Linked DNA regions of Canis lupus familiaris. The protein of the gene in region 1 binds, or shares a complex with, the protein of each later gene. Links are inferred from orthologs where the notes say so. Each region holds a gene or a part of one and is shown in the gene's direction. Other genes may lie near its edges.

Region 1 (7,534 bases):
TGTTAGTATACTAAGTTTCCACTATGTGACAAGAGTTGTTTCAAGAAATAAGGATATTGTGATGTTAATACAAACAAAAATCCTGAAGAAACATAACTGGTGGAAAGAAATTTATTTTACACGTTGCAAGGCTCTATAGAAAGCATTTTATCAGTGTTCAAAAGCGTTTAAAAATTCAACAAAACTTTTTTCTCGTTTTGCTCATTTAATGGTTATTAATACTTTAAATAGAAACTACTATTTTTCAAAGGAAAATATAAGCAGCATAATTATTTTGAACACTATTTTTGCTTAAGCCTAAAACTTAGTTTCAGCGCTCCAATACAAAGTTTGTCAGTTGTTTTCTTCTGTATAATTTACTAATGTTTGTATTTGAATATGTTTTGACTTCTAAGATTCTTTGTAGAGATAAATCATTGTGCTGCTTTATAATTTCTTAATACAGTTAGCTTTTGCCAATTTAAAAGAATTAATGAATTATTTCATGAGTATATGACCTATATTATTCAGGATATTTAGAACATGGACTAATTTTTGCTCTCAAATCCCAGCTTTTCACTTTCCAGCTGTGTAACATCAGACAGGTCACTTAAATAGTTTCTTCATCTATAAAATGGGGATAACAACACCTACTTCACAGTGATGTTGTGAAGATTAAATGAAATAATATATATCAGCTATTTGTAACAATGCCTAGCATGTAGAAAAGACTGTAGAATTAGCTGTGATTTTGTCTTTTTCTCCTTGTGCTTGCTTCGGCAGCACATATACTAATCTTTTTCTCCTTAATGGAATGCAGGTATACAGGCATTTCTTTAAATTTAAGACTTACTTGAGTAAGTTATGCTCAAATGCTGACATTGATTTCCTGTCAGCAATTACTTTCTTTGATGTTATGCAGTTAGTATTCTTATATGCCTATGTAGAATTATACTTAAGGCTTAAATATTGTTTTTGTTTGTTTAAATTCTCAAAGAGTACATTGTTGATAATTTTTTTCTTTTTTTTTTTTAAGCTCTTGCCCTCTTAAACTTGCATGAAAAATATTGGGTATCCATATGTTATAAAAAAAAAGTTCAGGAAAAACATAGGCTGAAATAATGGTTAAATTTTCTAGTTATACAAGGTGGGGACTGGGTCGGGCAGAAATTCTTAAAAAGAACTTAACAGTAATCTTTGCTGGCTTGTTTAGAATAGAAAAATTATGAAATATTAATAATATTGATGAAGTTCATATATTAGAATCATAATATTAGCTTTTAATAAGCTTTTAAGATTTTAATTTTCAGTTGGAGCAGATAAAGTCTCAACTATAAAATTTTTAAGAATTTTTCTGGAAAATTACATAGTTTTAAGTCCTATTAGGATATTTTGTGGAAAGAAACTTGGAGTGTATTTTAAATATAATCTCTGTTCTCTAGGCAAAGATTCTTATGATCTACTATGGGAGATAAAATAAAACCAAAATACTTATATTTGTTAAAACATAAATAAGCATTAGTTATCTGCTGTAATAATAAATAAATGCATAAATGTTTAGTTTCTGAGGAAATGTTTCACTTTTCATTTAAAAGAATTTCTAAGTGGAGTGTATGAAGAAGAAAGCCAACATCATTTTAAAAATATTCCCCTCAACTTAATGATAAATTAATTGTCTTAACTTCTGGAGGTATTGTGTATTTGACCTGTGCTTGGAATCCAAATGTATATATTCAGGAATATAGTGGAATTTTATCATACTACAAACTTCCCTTGTTCTGAATCTATGTGTAAAATGGTTCCTTGTGGACCTTGTACAAAGAAGTTGATAGGAATAAAATAGCGGAAGGACCAGCTTCCTTTTATTTATAGCGTGGACCCCAAGAATATTTTGAATTACTGTCCCCATTTTATAAATGAGAACATTGGTCTCAGAGTCTGGAGTAAGAAACCTAATAAGTTCTAGACCGAGCACAATCAATAAGTTAATTTGTGATCTTGGATAAGTCACTGTTTTACTCTGGGATCTGAATCTTCTCATTTTCAGATACAATTCTGTTACTTACAACCTTTGCATTATAAGCCTAATGAGTAACATCTGACTTTTTGACTCTTTCTTTTTTCATTATGTTTTGCTGGTTTACAAATTTTTCTTTAGTTATTTCTTGGTAATATAAAGGCCAAGATGGATTCATAGACCCTGTATTTTAATTCTAAAATTTCTAATTTGCATATATCTGTACAGTTTAATAGTATCTCAACTTGTGATTTTCAATTTCATAAATATTTTTGAGGATTTACCATATACTTAGCTGTGAAAACAATGCAGTGACATGGAACACTAAGCCTGCTTTTCATAGTTTATGGCTTTACCTCTTTGGGCCTCAATTTCCTCAGTAAGAAAATTAAATTAGATAATCTGTAATGTCTGTTTTGACTTTAAAATGTGTTGATTCTTAGAAATGTAAGAAGACATAGATAGTGGTTTCTTTTTAAAAGATTTTATTTATTTACTTATTTATTTAGAGTGTGCATGCACGTGTGAGCAGGGGGAAGGGTAGAGGGAGAAGGAGAGAATCCCAAGCAGATTCCCTGCTGAGCATGGACCTCAATGCAGGCTCAATCCCATGACCCTGAGACCATGACCTGAGCCAAAAACAAAAGTTGGGCATTTAACCTACTGAGCCACCAGAGTGCCCCAGGAGACATAGATACAGTTTTTAAGGTTTGATCTATGCTTAATGGTAAGGGCCAGTGAGAAAGTTTCTTCTAGTAGATTAAATGGTATTTGTGAGAAATAAATTTTTTTAACACTGTATTTTATTTGATAGGGATGAATAGATTTTAATACAATAGAAAATAAAGCAAAACACCTCAGTAGCACAGATAAGTAGTTTTCGGACAAAGAGAACTTTTGGAAGAGGGTGGAGATTTCCATTTGTAATATGTGATCAGACGGGCAAGATTTGAAGAAAAGATAATGCCCCTTGCCTGGTAAGGAAGAAATGAGAATTTATGAGATCCTATCATTCTACAGTAGTGGAATACTTAGATCAGCTTTCTATGGTTAAGATCTACTTTTTTCTTCTTGGAACTTAAGTAGGAAAAAATTGAATAGCAAGTTTAAATTGCTTTATTGGCACAGCTCTATCTTTAACTGCACTTCCAAATGTTTCATCACCTCACTGTTACTATGCATGTTAACATTTAAAAATATATTCTTATAGTTTTCTAATTCATTGACACTACATGCTATATTAGCTTGTGCCCATCATTATTTAAAAACATTTCTATTTTTTAATAAATTTTATTTCATTGAGCTTACAAAAATGTCTCAGAATTTTTTTATTTTAAGCCTATGCTTAGAGTATGGTTGAAATTAGTACTATATTTTTCGTGTTCATATAGTTCCTACTCTTCATAATTTTTCTTTTTTTACAGATATTGATGATGCTCAAATACTTCCCCGCCCAACTAGAGTCAGACATTTTTCACAAAGTGAAGACACTGGAAATGAAGTTTTTGGTGCTTTGAATGAGGAGCAGCCATTGCCTCGAAGTAGCAGTACTTCTGACATCTTGGAACCATTCACTGTTGAACGAGCCAAAGGTGCAGTTCCTGTCATTGACAGTTCATCCCGTCATGCGCCAAGCTTGCAGAGTTCCACAGAGGCTTCTTCAATAACTAGATCCACTGAAAGCCACATCACTGATACTCACAGTAGAGAGTCTTCTCTGGAAGTTGGTGATAGCATATATGACCATCTTTGTCACTTAATAGATCCAGTAGAACTTGCAGATTCAGCTTTTGAACAAATCCAGTACATTGACCTTGAAGGAGATGACGATCTTCTTACCTCCTTGAAAGAATATTTTAAGGAAAACCAGGAAAATCATAGTAAAAATGAGTTAGGTAAAGATGCAGCTTCTGAGGAAGTAATTATTGCAGTAAATAGGGATGAACGATCATCTTTAGATAAATTAGAATATGTAGACCAGGAAAGTAAATCAGAAAATATCACCTCTTTTGTTGGGACTCCTGAAAACACTCAGTTTCAAAAAGAACCAGACTCAGCTGCCTTCGTGAGTAGTGTTGCGCCTAACCAGTTAGACAGTTTTATGAGAACCAAAACTTACGAAAAACCCGAGGAACTAAAAAATGATAAACAATCATCAGAACCTAGCTCAGGTAGCCCTTGTGATAAAGAAAAAAGGAAACACCTGTATAGACAAAGAGCCACAGAATTAGATGCCTGTGTAGATGTAACAGTAGTCGAAAAGGTTAAGGGTGTGCAAATTAATGAAAAAATCACTGTCCCACATGTTATGCATACCAAGAAAACTACACTAAAAACACCTGTTAACCATAGACTGCCTCCTGTTACAAACACTAGCAAACTTTCTCCAACTAAAAGGAGCTTGTCTGAAACAGTAACTCATAGAGCCAAAATCATGAAAATTACTACTAAAAAACGAAATACTGTTCATGTTACTTTTAGACCATCTACTGAATCAGTTCAGTTTTATAATCCTCTGGAAAACAAAGAGGCTCCATGGAAGATGAGACTGCGGAAGCTTGGTGGCTTCAGTAGTAGTAGTGGCAGTAGCACCAGCAGCGCCAGCAACCTCCATACCAGCTCAAATAGTTTTACAGAGTTAGTAAAACCTGGTGTGTACAGGCCTCTAGATACACTTGGTACAGCATCAGTAAGTAAAACAACTAAGGAATCTACAGAGATTCCCACCACTGTATTACAAAAAGAAGGAGTTGCAAGTAATCAGTTAGGTAGTCGTAGTACTCTTAGGTCATCAAGTCATGAGGCAGGACTACAGCAGGGCTCCCTGGGTGGCGTTTATAAAACTGTTGTACATGCTCTTTCGAAGCCGAAGGCAAATGTTTCCCCACAGAGGCAGAACAGAATGCCACCAGAGGCTCCACTGAGGGATCTGTACAGTCATGTAATGGGCTATTTTGGAAGGAAAGCTGCAGGTGAGCACTAACAGTGTGCAGAGCGCAAAAGGAGAAAGACAGCACCAGTTTGGCTTAATGCAACTGAAGCGAGCTATAAGCAATCAAAAAGCTTTGGGATGGTCACTGCTTTCTCTCTGTTTGGTTATGCATGCGCCTTTTCCCAGCTGTATTTTTCCCAGCATAAAATGTTTATTTAAATTACTAATTTCCCTTATAAGGCATTTAGTTAAACCTCTTTGCTGCTGAACAAGATAGGAAAGAGGAAGATACAGGAAAATTTTAATGACCTTTCAGAGGCTATCTAAATCAAATATTTTTCTGAGTATGTACTACATGAGCCGTGAAATTAAGTTTACTAAGTCGTTGGAATACTTTCCCCTGCCCCCTTATAGTTTATATTTAAAAGGGCACTGGCTATATCTAATTGAGTTCATTATTTTTATTGATGAGTTACATGCTTTTAGATATTTTCTTGGAATAAAATTACTTTGGCATTATGTAACATAATGGAAATCAAGGTCTGACAACCAGCATCAACATTTTTAGTTATCCTTGAAGGAGAAATTCTTTCTTAAATCTCAAAGTGGATTTAGTTACTTTTCAAAGAAGCCATTTCAAAATAAGCTGTAGGCTTTTTAGTTTTGCATTCATTTGTATAGAATGCAAGTCCTTAAAACACTTACCATACTTTTCTTTTTTCTGAGATTTTAGATGTACATAAAGGTTTCATGATAGCCAATCATGATTTAAATATGGAACCTCTATGGACAGATTACAGAAAGCAAGATTATGGTAACTCTCTTCTCTTATCTTGATTCAAATTTAAAATAACTTTACAGATATAGAAAATTAACTTTCAGCAGTAAGGTAGGTTTTGATTTTGTTTGTTTAACATGGTTTTGTTAGCATGATTAACAGAATGCTGTATAATGCATCTTGCATTGAGCCATTAATGCCACTTGAGGGCAGTATTTGACAGCTTAGCAAAGCCTGGCCAGTAATATAAAGATAATGGTATTTCACAGTGAACTCTTGACCAGTGTATTTTCTTGACCTGAAATGCTTTTTACTTCGTTAGGAGTATAAGCAATACTGGTTTTCTTTTAGTTGCAGAGAAATTAATTTTTCAACAGCATAATAGTGAAATAAATATTTATTTCTGTAAGTTTTTTCCCAAGGTTGAAACTTTGTTAATGTAGTCATAACAAAATCAAAATAACTTTTGTGGGTTTTCTTTTTACAGAAAAACCTTTGTGAAAATAAACCTCTTTTTTCTTAAAGCAGTAATGTTAGACTTTGTAGTGAATATAAATGATATTATGTCACAATTATGGATTTTTTTATTTATCTAAACTGAAATGCATTTATATCCCACTGAGATGTACATAGATTCAAGGGATAGATTCCTTGCAGATATTTTTTGAGAAGAATGGAATTCTAAGTTATTAAGGCTCGAAATAGAAGCATAGAGGCAGGAAGAAAGATAAATATACCAGTTTCTTTATAGGCAATATTAACCTAACTCCAACTAGTGCTTATCTATAAGCTTTCTTGCTGTTTAAGGTTATACTGAAGATTGACTAACATCTGCTTAGTTAAATAAAGTAAATATCAATTTACTAATTCTTAAAATTAAATCTACAGGGAGAGAAATTATTCGTAAATGCATGTTTGGCAAATAATTGATATGGCATAGGTGATTTGTTTTGGATTGCTTTTGTTTGTTTCAGATTAGGAAACGCAGTTAAGTCTTTTCTCACTATATATAGTTATTTATTTATTTTTAGTCAATAAAGAGGACATGAGCCCAAAACTGCCTCCTCTTAATAGTGATATTGGCAGCAGCAATGTTAATGTTCCTGATCTGATGGATGAGTTTATAGCAGAACGACTTCGAAGTGGTAATGCCTCAGTAAGTGTTGTTTTATTTCATTTATTTGGTTTAGCAAGGAGAGTAGAGAAACTAAAGGATACTTACTTTTGTGTGTATGTGTGTTTGTAAATTTTTATTCAAAATAATCTTCCGGGCAGCCCTGGTGGCTCAGTGGTTTAGTGCCGCCTTCAGCCCGGGGTAGGATCCTGGAGACGGGGGATCGAGTCCCACATCAGGCTTCTTATATGGAGCTTGCTTCTCCCTCTACCTGTGTCTCTGCCTCTCTCTCTCTCTGTCTGTCATGAATGAATAAATAAAATCTTTAAATAATAATAATAATAATTTCCTCTAAATTTAACCCTTTTTTGAATTAAGATTTTTAAATTATACTTTTATAATATTTTTTATTTAGAGACATAAAACAAATAGGCTTATAGTTTTGACCAGGGTAAAATATGAGAATACCTATTTGCTTACCTACTTAGATATAAGCCCCTACCTTCCTAGTCTTCCCTATGTTTTTCATATTTGCTCATAGGTTACCTTCTTACCCACTGCTGACCCTTAGCAAAAAAGATAACAATGGAGGTCTTCTGATCCAATTCCCATAAATTTGATAGCATAAATATTGATGTTTAATCATTGCAGCTAACTTCAGAATAGACTTTTAAAGTTATCTTTGTTTTACTAGAATTACAGCAAAATGAAAAT
Region 2 (7,534 bases), on another chromosome or scaffold:
CATTCATAATATAAATTGTATAACTTAAATTACAAAGATATATGTTACAAATAATAATTTTTAAAATAAACACATTATTCAAATGTTTAAAGGTTTTTTAAATCTTACAAAACTAGAAATCCCGTTTTTGTCTCTTATCAATGAGGGTTTTCATTTATCTTCTTTGAGGTATCATACACATGTCATCTATTTTCTTTTGTATTTCTCATCATATTTTAATGCTTAATACATATTTTAATATATTTTTCATTCTGTTAAGAAATGAACTTGGTGGTTTGCATATTTTTTGTATTCTAGATTGCTACGCTTTACATATGGTCCTTCATTTCCTCCATTTAAAGTTCCTGATGAAGATGCCAGTCTGATCCCTCCTGAAATGGATAATGAGTGTGTAGCACAGACATGGTTTCGCTTCTTACATATGTTAAGGTACTATTATTTAGTATTGTGTATGCTCTTTACTCCTATCTTAGGGCAGGAACCGTACTGTAACTTCTGTGTTGGTGCTCAGTGTGTGGCTGCTAAGTACAGCCCTCAGATGGAGCCACATTGGACAGTAGTCACATCTATATCATGTGCCTCTTGCTCTCTTGCTCCCAGCAGACTCAGGCTACCCTCAGCTGCGTTTAGTCTACACTCTAGAAGCTTGTCCCCTGTGTTATATGTAGCATTTGTTCTCTTGCCTACTGTTACATCCTGGATGATATCTCTCTCAGGACTCTGTTGCATTCTGTGGGACAGGAGAGTGCCTTGCTTCTCTATGTGACCAACACTACCTGGTCCATCTGGCCAGGAGGGCCTCTCCTCTAGTGGCCTTGTTTAAAATGTCGCTGAGGGTGATACAATAAAATTACACAGAGGGATAACTTGCTGCTTCCTGGTCTCTCTTTATAGTAATTCTATTCAGTTCAATTTTATTGCTGCTTGTTTTCTCTGTACTAGCTACATCCTTGTGTCCTATGGAACTTTTGTTCTGTTGCATACTGCCTTAATTCTTAAACCATTTCCTCTCCATATCCTCTCATTCTGGTTTGACTAGTCTCATTTTTCTGTTTGTGTATTAGTGATTCTAAATTACCCTTTTTATAAGTTAGGGATGTTAACTATTTTTTTTTTCCAGGTTGTAGTTTTTGTTTTTCATCTTTTAGTGATTTCAGTTTTTTTAAATGTCTTTTTCAATGATCATTTTCTGTTTCCTTTAAAATTAGAAAAGTCTTGGGGATCCCGGGGTGGCTCAGCAGTTTAGCGCCAGCCTTCGACCCAGGACATGATCCTGGACTCCCGGATCGAGTCCCACGTCGGGCTCCCTGCATGGAGCCTGCTTCTCCCTCTGCCTGTGTTTCTGCCTCTCTCTCTTTCTGTTTCTCATGAATAAATAAATAAAATCTAAAAAAAAAAAAAATAGGCTTTCTGTGTAATTAATTCTTTTTTCCTTTTTTGATAGTAATCCCGTGGATTTGAGTAACCCGGCCATTATAAGCTCTACTCCCAAATTTCAGGAACAGTTCTTAAATGTGAGCGGAATGCCACAAGAATTGAATCAGTATCCCTGCCTTAAACATCTGCCTCAAATATTTTTTCGTGCCATGCGTGGAATCAGCTGTCTAGTGGATGCATTCTTAGGTGAATTTTGTGTATGTTTCTAAATGTTTGGAGACCTACATGTAGATAACTCTAGAGTATGGATTTAGAAACATTATGGAAAGCCCAAAGAAAAAGATGAACAGCTTTGGTTGCAAATGACAAAGTAGGAAAAATTATTTGCAACAAATGTAATAGCTAGAACACTTCCATTGTCTTTATATAAATAGATCAAACAATGCTAAGAAAAAGAATAAGACTTGGTAGATAAATGGACAAAGGATATGAATAAGTGATTTGCAGAAGGGAAAAGTTCATTCTCCGTAGTAATCCAAGAAAATACAGATTAATATACATTAGGTATGTGTCCCTGGGAATAAAATTACACCTTTTGTGAACCATTATTTTAAACCATTTTTCACATTTTAGGAATATGAAAAGTCAATATTTTTAACCTGAAAGGCAATGATATTTTATATCTATTTTTTTAAAACATTTATGTGCACTTGTTAATACATTACATAGGTAGTATATTAGTTCAAATTAAGTTTGGCTGCCACATAACAATAAAAAATACCAATGGTTTAAGCAAGATAATTATTTTCACATATGATAAGGGCAGAGCTAGGCAGTATAGGGCTGCTATCGCTGTTCCATCATTGTGAGGGACCCAGGGCTCTTCCATCTCTTGGCTCTCCATCCTTTGTGTACTCTCTCATGGGCCATGATGGTTAAATGAGTTCCAATCCTCCTTTTCAGGAATTAGGAAAGGAGGAGAGTTTATACTTGATTGGTCCTTTTAAGAAGAGTTCCTGGAAGACCCACCCCACAGTCATCTACTTCTTTATGGTCAGAACATGGCCACATCTATCTGTAAGGGAAGCTTGAAAATGTAGTTATTTATTTTGGGTAGCCATGTCCAGCTAAAATTTGTATTCAGTAACTTAGGAAGGAAGAGTGAATGGATACTGGGAGGCAGCTAGCAGTGTCTGCTGTAGTCTGTCCTGAGCCGTCACTGGTGTTGCTTGAGGAAGATTTTCTGACCATGTGTTTGAAACTATGAAGAATAACTCCATTTGTCTTTTTCTTAAAGGCATTTCTAGACCCCGATCAGACAGTGCTCCTCCAACACCCGTGAATAGATTAAGTATGCCTCAAAGCACTGCTGTCAGTACCACCCCACCACATAACCGGAGGCACCGGGCTGTTACTGTGAATAAGGCCACCATGAAGACAAGCACAGTAAGAGTTTTCATCTCCATTATTATGCTGTATAAAGTTGCCTTTTTAATCTGCCAACCTTTTAAAAAAGTCTTTCTTTTTTCTCAAACTTTTCTTGAGTGTGGATTTATTCTTGTACTCCTCCAACAGGTTAGTACTGCTCATGCCTCGAAAGTTCAGCACCAGACATCCTCCACCTCTCCTCTGTCAAGTCCCAATCAGACTAGTTCTGAACCCCGGCCACTGCCTGCCCCTCGAAGACCAAAGGTTAACAGCATCTTGAATCTCTTTGGATCATGGTTATTTGATGCAGCATTTGTTCACTGTAAACTTCATAATGGGATAAACAGAGACAGCAGCATGACTGGTAAATATTGCTCAAGAAATATGTTATCACTTTTTTCTTTTCTTTTTTTTCTTTTTAATTTTTCCTACCTGCAAGATTAATATGTATCTTAAAAAGCTTTCTGTCTCTGACCAAGCAGTGTCTTGTGTTTAACCCCTTCCAGCTACAGTAACAAATTTTTGAAAGTTTTCCTACCTGTCCTTTATATGTCTGTCTATGAGGTTTGGCTCTTGTCTGTTTTTATTAGGCACACTTTAGGTCAGCCACTTTTTGTTGAATCAAATTGCTTTACTTAGGTGGCCTGGAAGTTCCCTTCATGTCAGCCAGGATGATAATATTGATAGAAAGAATTAAATAAAGATTTTGACCAGAAATTTATTCACAAGAAGTGTTTTCTTAGATTCTGACAGCCATTCACTTATTAGTACATAAAAAAATTAGAAAATTTCTGCCTCATGAAAAACTCTTATTCTCAGGTTTTAGTCTAGAGAACTTTATTTCAGGGCACACTTTAAAAAATACCATTTGCTCTGGAACTATTTAAGAGTGGGTGAAGAATTAATAACTCAATCCTGATATCTTCATTTTGATTTTATTACAGAAACGACCCTTTCTAAATCTGATTTATTTTTGTCATCTCACTGTTGTACTTGGAAGTAGTAGCATAGTGTGCAGGATGGGAGTGTAGGGTAGTGCAGAATATACTGGATATTTATGACATGTCTTATAGAGAATAATAATCATGGCTAGCATTTATTGAGCTGCGATAACTATGCCCAGGCACTGTGTTATATGCACTAATGAGTGTATTGGTTGTTTGATAAGAAAGCACTTTTCTGATTGGGGTTAGAAGTAGGTTGAGAGAAAAGGATGCCTAATTGCATTAGTTCATGCATCTCTAGGGAGAATATTAGTTCCAAGAATTAAAACTAACATGGTGACCATAAAGGTCTCTGTTTTCTCTCAGAAATGCATTCTTAGCTATTATGAATCATCTCAGAATTAAGGTCTATATGAGCATTATACATGTATAATCATTTTGGATGTTCTTAAATTTTTAAAATAATTTAAAAAGTCGTGAATATGAAGATATTTTGGGGACTATAATTCAAGATTGCATGTTTGAGTTTACAGATTCCTTTGTTTTCTTCAAATTCAGACACTTTATATTCTTCCATTTCCATATTTTATTTAAAAGTTTGAAATTTGTGCTTCTGTATGGATAAGTATGTACTTATGGCTAATGAAAACTTCTAGAAAACCATTTTTTGGCTTATATTTTCTTATGTTCATGTACCTTATATGTTGAGTTTTCTAAACCATGTTTATATTTGTTAATTTGTATTGTATTTTCTAGAATGAATCAGTCATGTTTTTTATTTTTATTAAGGTGCAATTTTTGTAGTATAACTTTTGGGCATCAAGCTGTTGACACTAAAATCCCTGAATCCAGAATGTCTCAATCTCCTGCCTCCTTGGTGGGCTTGCTTAAGGGGAATATACAAATCTTCTCATTCTCTAGGGAGTTTGTAACAGCTTTACTCACCCTCTTGTGCCAAAAGATAGAAACCAGAACTTAGATATGTGGTAAACCAATTCTTACTTTAACCCTGAACATTTTCCTTGGTGCGGAAAAGATAGAAGGTCCTCTTGCCCCTGTTGTGTTTGGAGATGAGAAAGGCTGTTACATTACCCAGGAGATAGGAGTGTCCTGGTATTTCACTGGGTTTGGGTGCTCTTGAGAGCTGGTCTTGAAGCCGCAGGGTGGGGGGGGGAAGGGGGCGGAGGGACGGGGAATGAACACTGTTAGTCGGTTCTCTAAGTACTGGCTGCCATCAAGGAATTCTGCCCTGCAGTTCACCTCTAACTTAAGGTCTTTGCTTCGATCAACTGGTTAGCTCAAGACTGATGCGACATTACACTGTAGTTTGCAGAAGTGGTATTGAGCTGGGAAGGGTTAATGAACTAAATTTTAATGCACGTTATCAGCAGTTCAAAACCTCAATTCTTTGTAGCTGTGTAATTTTCTTCGTTCATTGTTTTGCATGATACAAAAATCATAATTTTGGATCTGAATGCACAATTTCCTGTTTTTGAACTAGCTTGTGGTATCATAAAGCTTTTAATCTAACTTTTAAAAAGCTAAAAAGCTTCTTAACTTATTGTAAAATTTCACCATCTTTAAAGTATTTTATAATTACTGCTGTCCTTTGATTTGTTTCCATTTATTTCTATTATCTTGCAGCATCTTTTATCCAAATTCTTCTTTCTTATAAATCTTGTAAGTAGGAACCAGAAGCTTCTCCTTAATTGCAGTCATGTTTTTATTTTTTTCATAATTCCATTAAAAAATTTGATTGTCATTGTCTCTTGTAGTTTTTGCACTTGGGAAGAAAAATACTTTTCTGTGTTTTGAATGGGGAAGATTGTTGGCAAAAGCAAATTAATCTGCCTGAATCAGTCCCATTATTTCTGTACACTAGTCTGGTCATGTCATGAATTCCAGGACTTTGCACTAACTGTGTTTTGGCTTTTTTTTTTTTTTTTTTTTTTAAAGCTTTAAGCTTATTTTTCTACAGATTTAGTGTTTGATTTGTATGCATTCTGCATGTAGTGTTTTTTCAAATGTATTATTGCTGGATAGCTTATTCAGGACTAAAAATGGCTCATGGGAAGTTGCATAAAGATTTATGCTTGACTCTGCATTCTATTAAAACTATTACAAAATAATTTAAACATTTCATGTAGAGCGATAAAAGATTTCAGAGTGATTTTCAATACACTATGAAATCTTTTGTTAAAAATAAAAGCAACTTTCAAAGGGCTTCTGTTTCAGTGACAACGAATGACCATGATAATCTTTCCTACCAATCCAATTTTCTGATTTATCAACCTCAAGTTAGCTGCTGTCTGTGGTTGTTAAAATTCATTCTCATTTTGCTTGGTTGGGCGATTCTTTGGTGTGTGTTTTGGAGTTGGGTGGGTGGTGGGAATGCTCTCTCTTCCTCCCTACCCATTTCTCATCCTTACTTTGCCCTTTCCCTAAAGTATACAAACTGGCATGGGCTTGCCCATTCAATTATGATGTCTGTCTGGGGTAATAATGTAAATTGCAGTAGCTATTTTTCTTAATGTTTAAGCATCATTCTACAGGGGGAGGAAAAAGCAGAATAAATAATAGAAAAGCCAAATTCTTTGTTATATCTCTGTATGTGAATACAGATATATACAAATGTACTCTGCTGATCAAAAATTCAGTTGAAAAATGCTTCAAGTAGAATCTATTAAACTGATAATACCACTGTAAATTAATTGTTACCATTTTCAAAGAAGATTTCAGAGAGCCCCTTAAAAAAAACTAAGATATAGTTGCAAACAAAAGCATTATTGAATTCTATTTAAGTAACAATTTAATGACACCAACAATTGATCTTTGTGTCCAGGGTCCCATGAGCCTATTTGCATATTGACAAATATAATAAAACGTTCTTTTCTCTCCTCAGCCATTACAACACAAGCTAGCATGGAGTTTCGACGGAAAGGGTCACAAATGTCCACAGACACCATGGTTTCCAATCCTATGTTTGATGCAAGTGAATTTCCTGATAACTATGAAGCAGGAAGAGCTGAGGCTTGTGGGACACTGTGTAGGATTTTTTGTAGCAAGAAGACTGGAGAAGAGATTCTGCCAGCTTATTTATCCAGGTCTTAGAATTTTTTTGTTTATTTTCCCATTTATATAGTTTTGATAGTGGCTTGGTAAGGCTGAATTGAAGTAAATTTGAAGTAAAATTTGAAGTAAAATTGAAGTAAATTTTGGTCTGTAGTACTTGCAAATGTCTGTTAAGTAACTGGAATTTTTGCTTGACATTCTTGCATTTTACCTGCCTTAAGATGTTTTTTTATTTTAGAAGTAGTATTTATTTCATCATATTTGACATTTATTAACGATGGAGAGATTTGGAAGGATCACACTAATGAAATATATGTTTAGCACAGTATTAGGCACTATAGATGATCCAGAAATATTAGCTGTAAATCTGGCCTCTAAGGAGCTTATTTTCTCGAGTGAGCAAAGCCGTGTACACAGGTAACAATGATCCAGTAATAATAGGAAGTTGATAGGAGAGAGGTAGAAGTAAAGTGCTGCAGGCATTCAGAAGAAGAAGAAGCAGTACACGCTTTCCCCAGGGGTTCAGGGAGGAGATACAGAGGATGGGATGATTGTCCTGGACTTAAAAAAAAATGAGTGGTGTTTAGCCTATGTTAGGTTGAGTAGGGTCTTCTGACTTCAACCATCTCTGTGTTTGTCTCTGCCAGCCATTCAGTTGCTCAGACCAGAAACTAGGAGTCATTTTAGACTCTTCTCTTTAGAGTCTTTGTCTT

Evidence for each region.
Region 2: RALGAPA1 (region 1) and RALGAPB share a complex: the UniProt entries of both Homo sapiens proteins name them as parts of the heterodimeric RalGAP1 complex. The link is inferred for Canis lupus familiaris from reciprocal best matches to the Homo sapiens genes RALGAPA1 and RALGAPB.

The regions. Positions count from the first base shown.
Region 1 is NC_049229.1:14,515,714-14,523,247, reverse strand, and holds part of RALGAPA1 (ral GTPase-activating protein subunit alpha-1), read left to right. Parts: intron 1-3,420; coding exon 3,421-4,968; intron 4,969-5,661; coding exon 5,662-5,742; intron 5,743-6,737; coding exon 6,738-6,862; intron 6,863-7,534. UniProt on the Homo sapiens protein: Catalytic subunit of the heterodimeric RalGAP1 complex which acts as a GTPase activator for the Ras-like small GTPases RALA and RALB.
Region 2 is NC_049245.1:27,541,266-27,548,799, forward strand, and holds part of RALGAPB (ral GTPase-activating protein subunit beta), read left to right. Parts: intron 1-297; coding exon 298-429; intron 430-1,444; coding exon 1,445-1,623; intron 1,624-2,674; coding exon 2,675-2,823; intron 2,824-2,952; coding exon 2,953-3,169; intron 3,170-5,393; coding exon 5,394-5,429; intron 5,430-6,651; coding exon 6,652-6,853; intron 6,854-7,534. UniProt on the Homo sapiens protein: Non-catalytic subunit of the heterodimeric RalGAP1 and RalGAP2 complexes which act as GTPase activators for the Ras-like small GTPases RALA and RALB.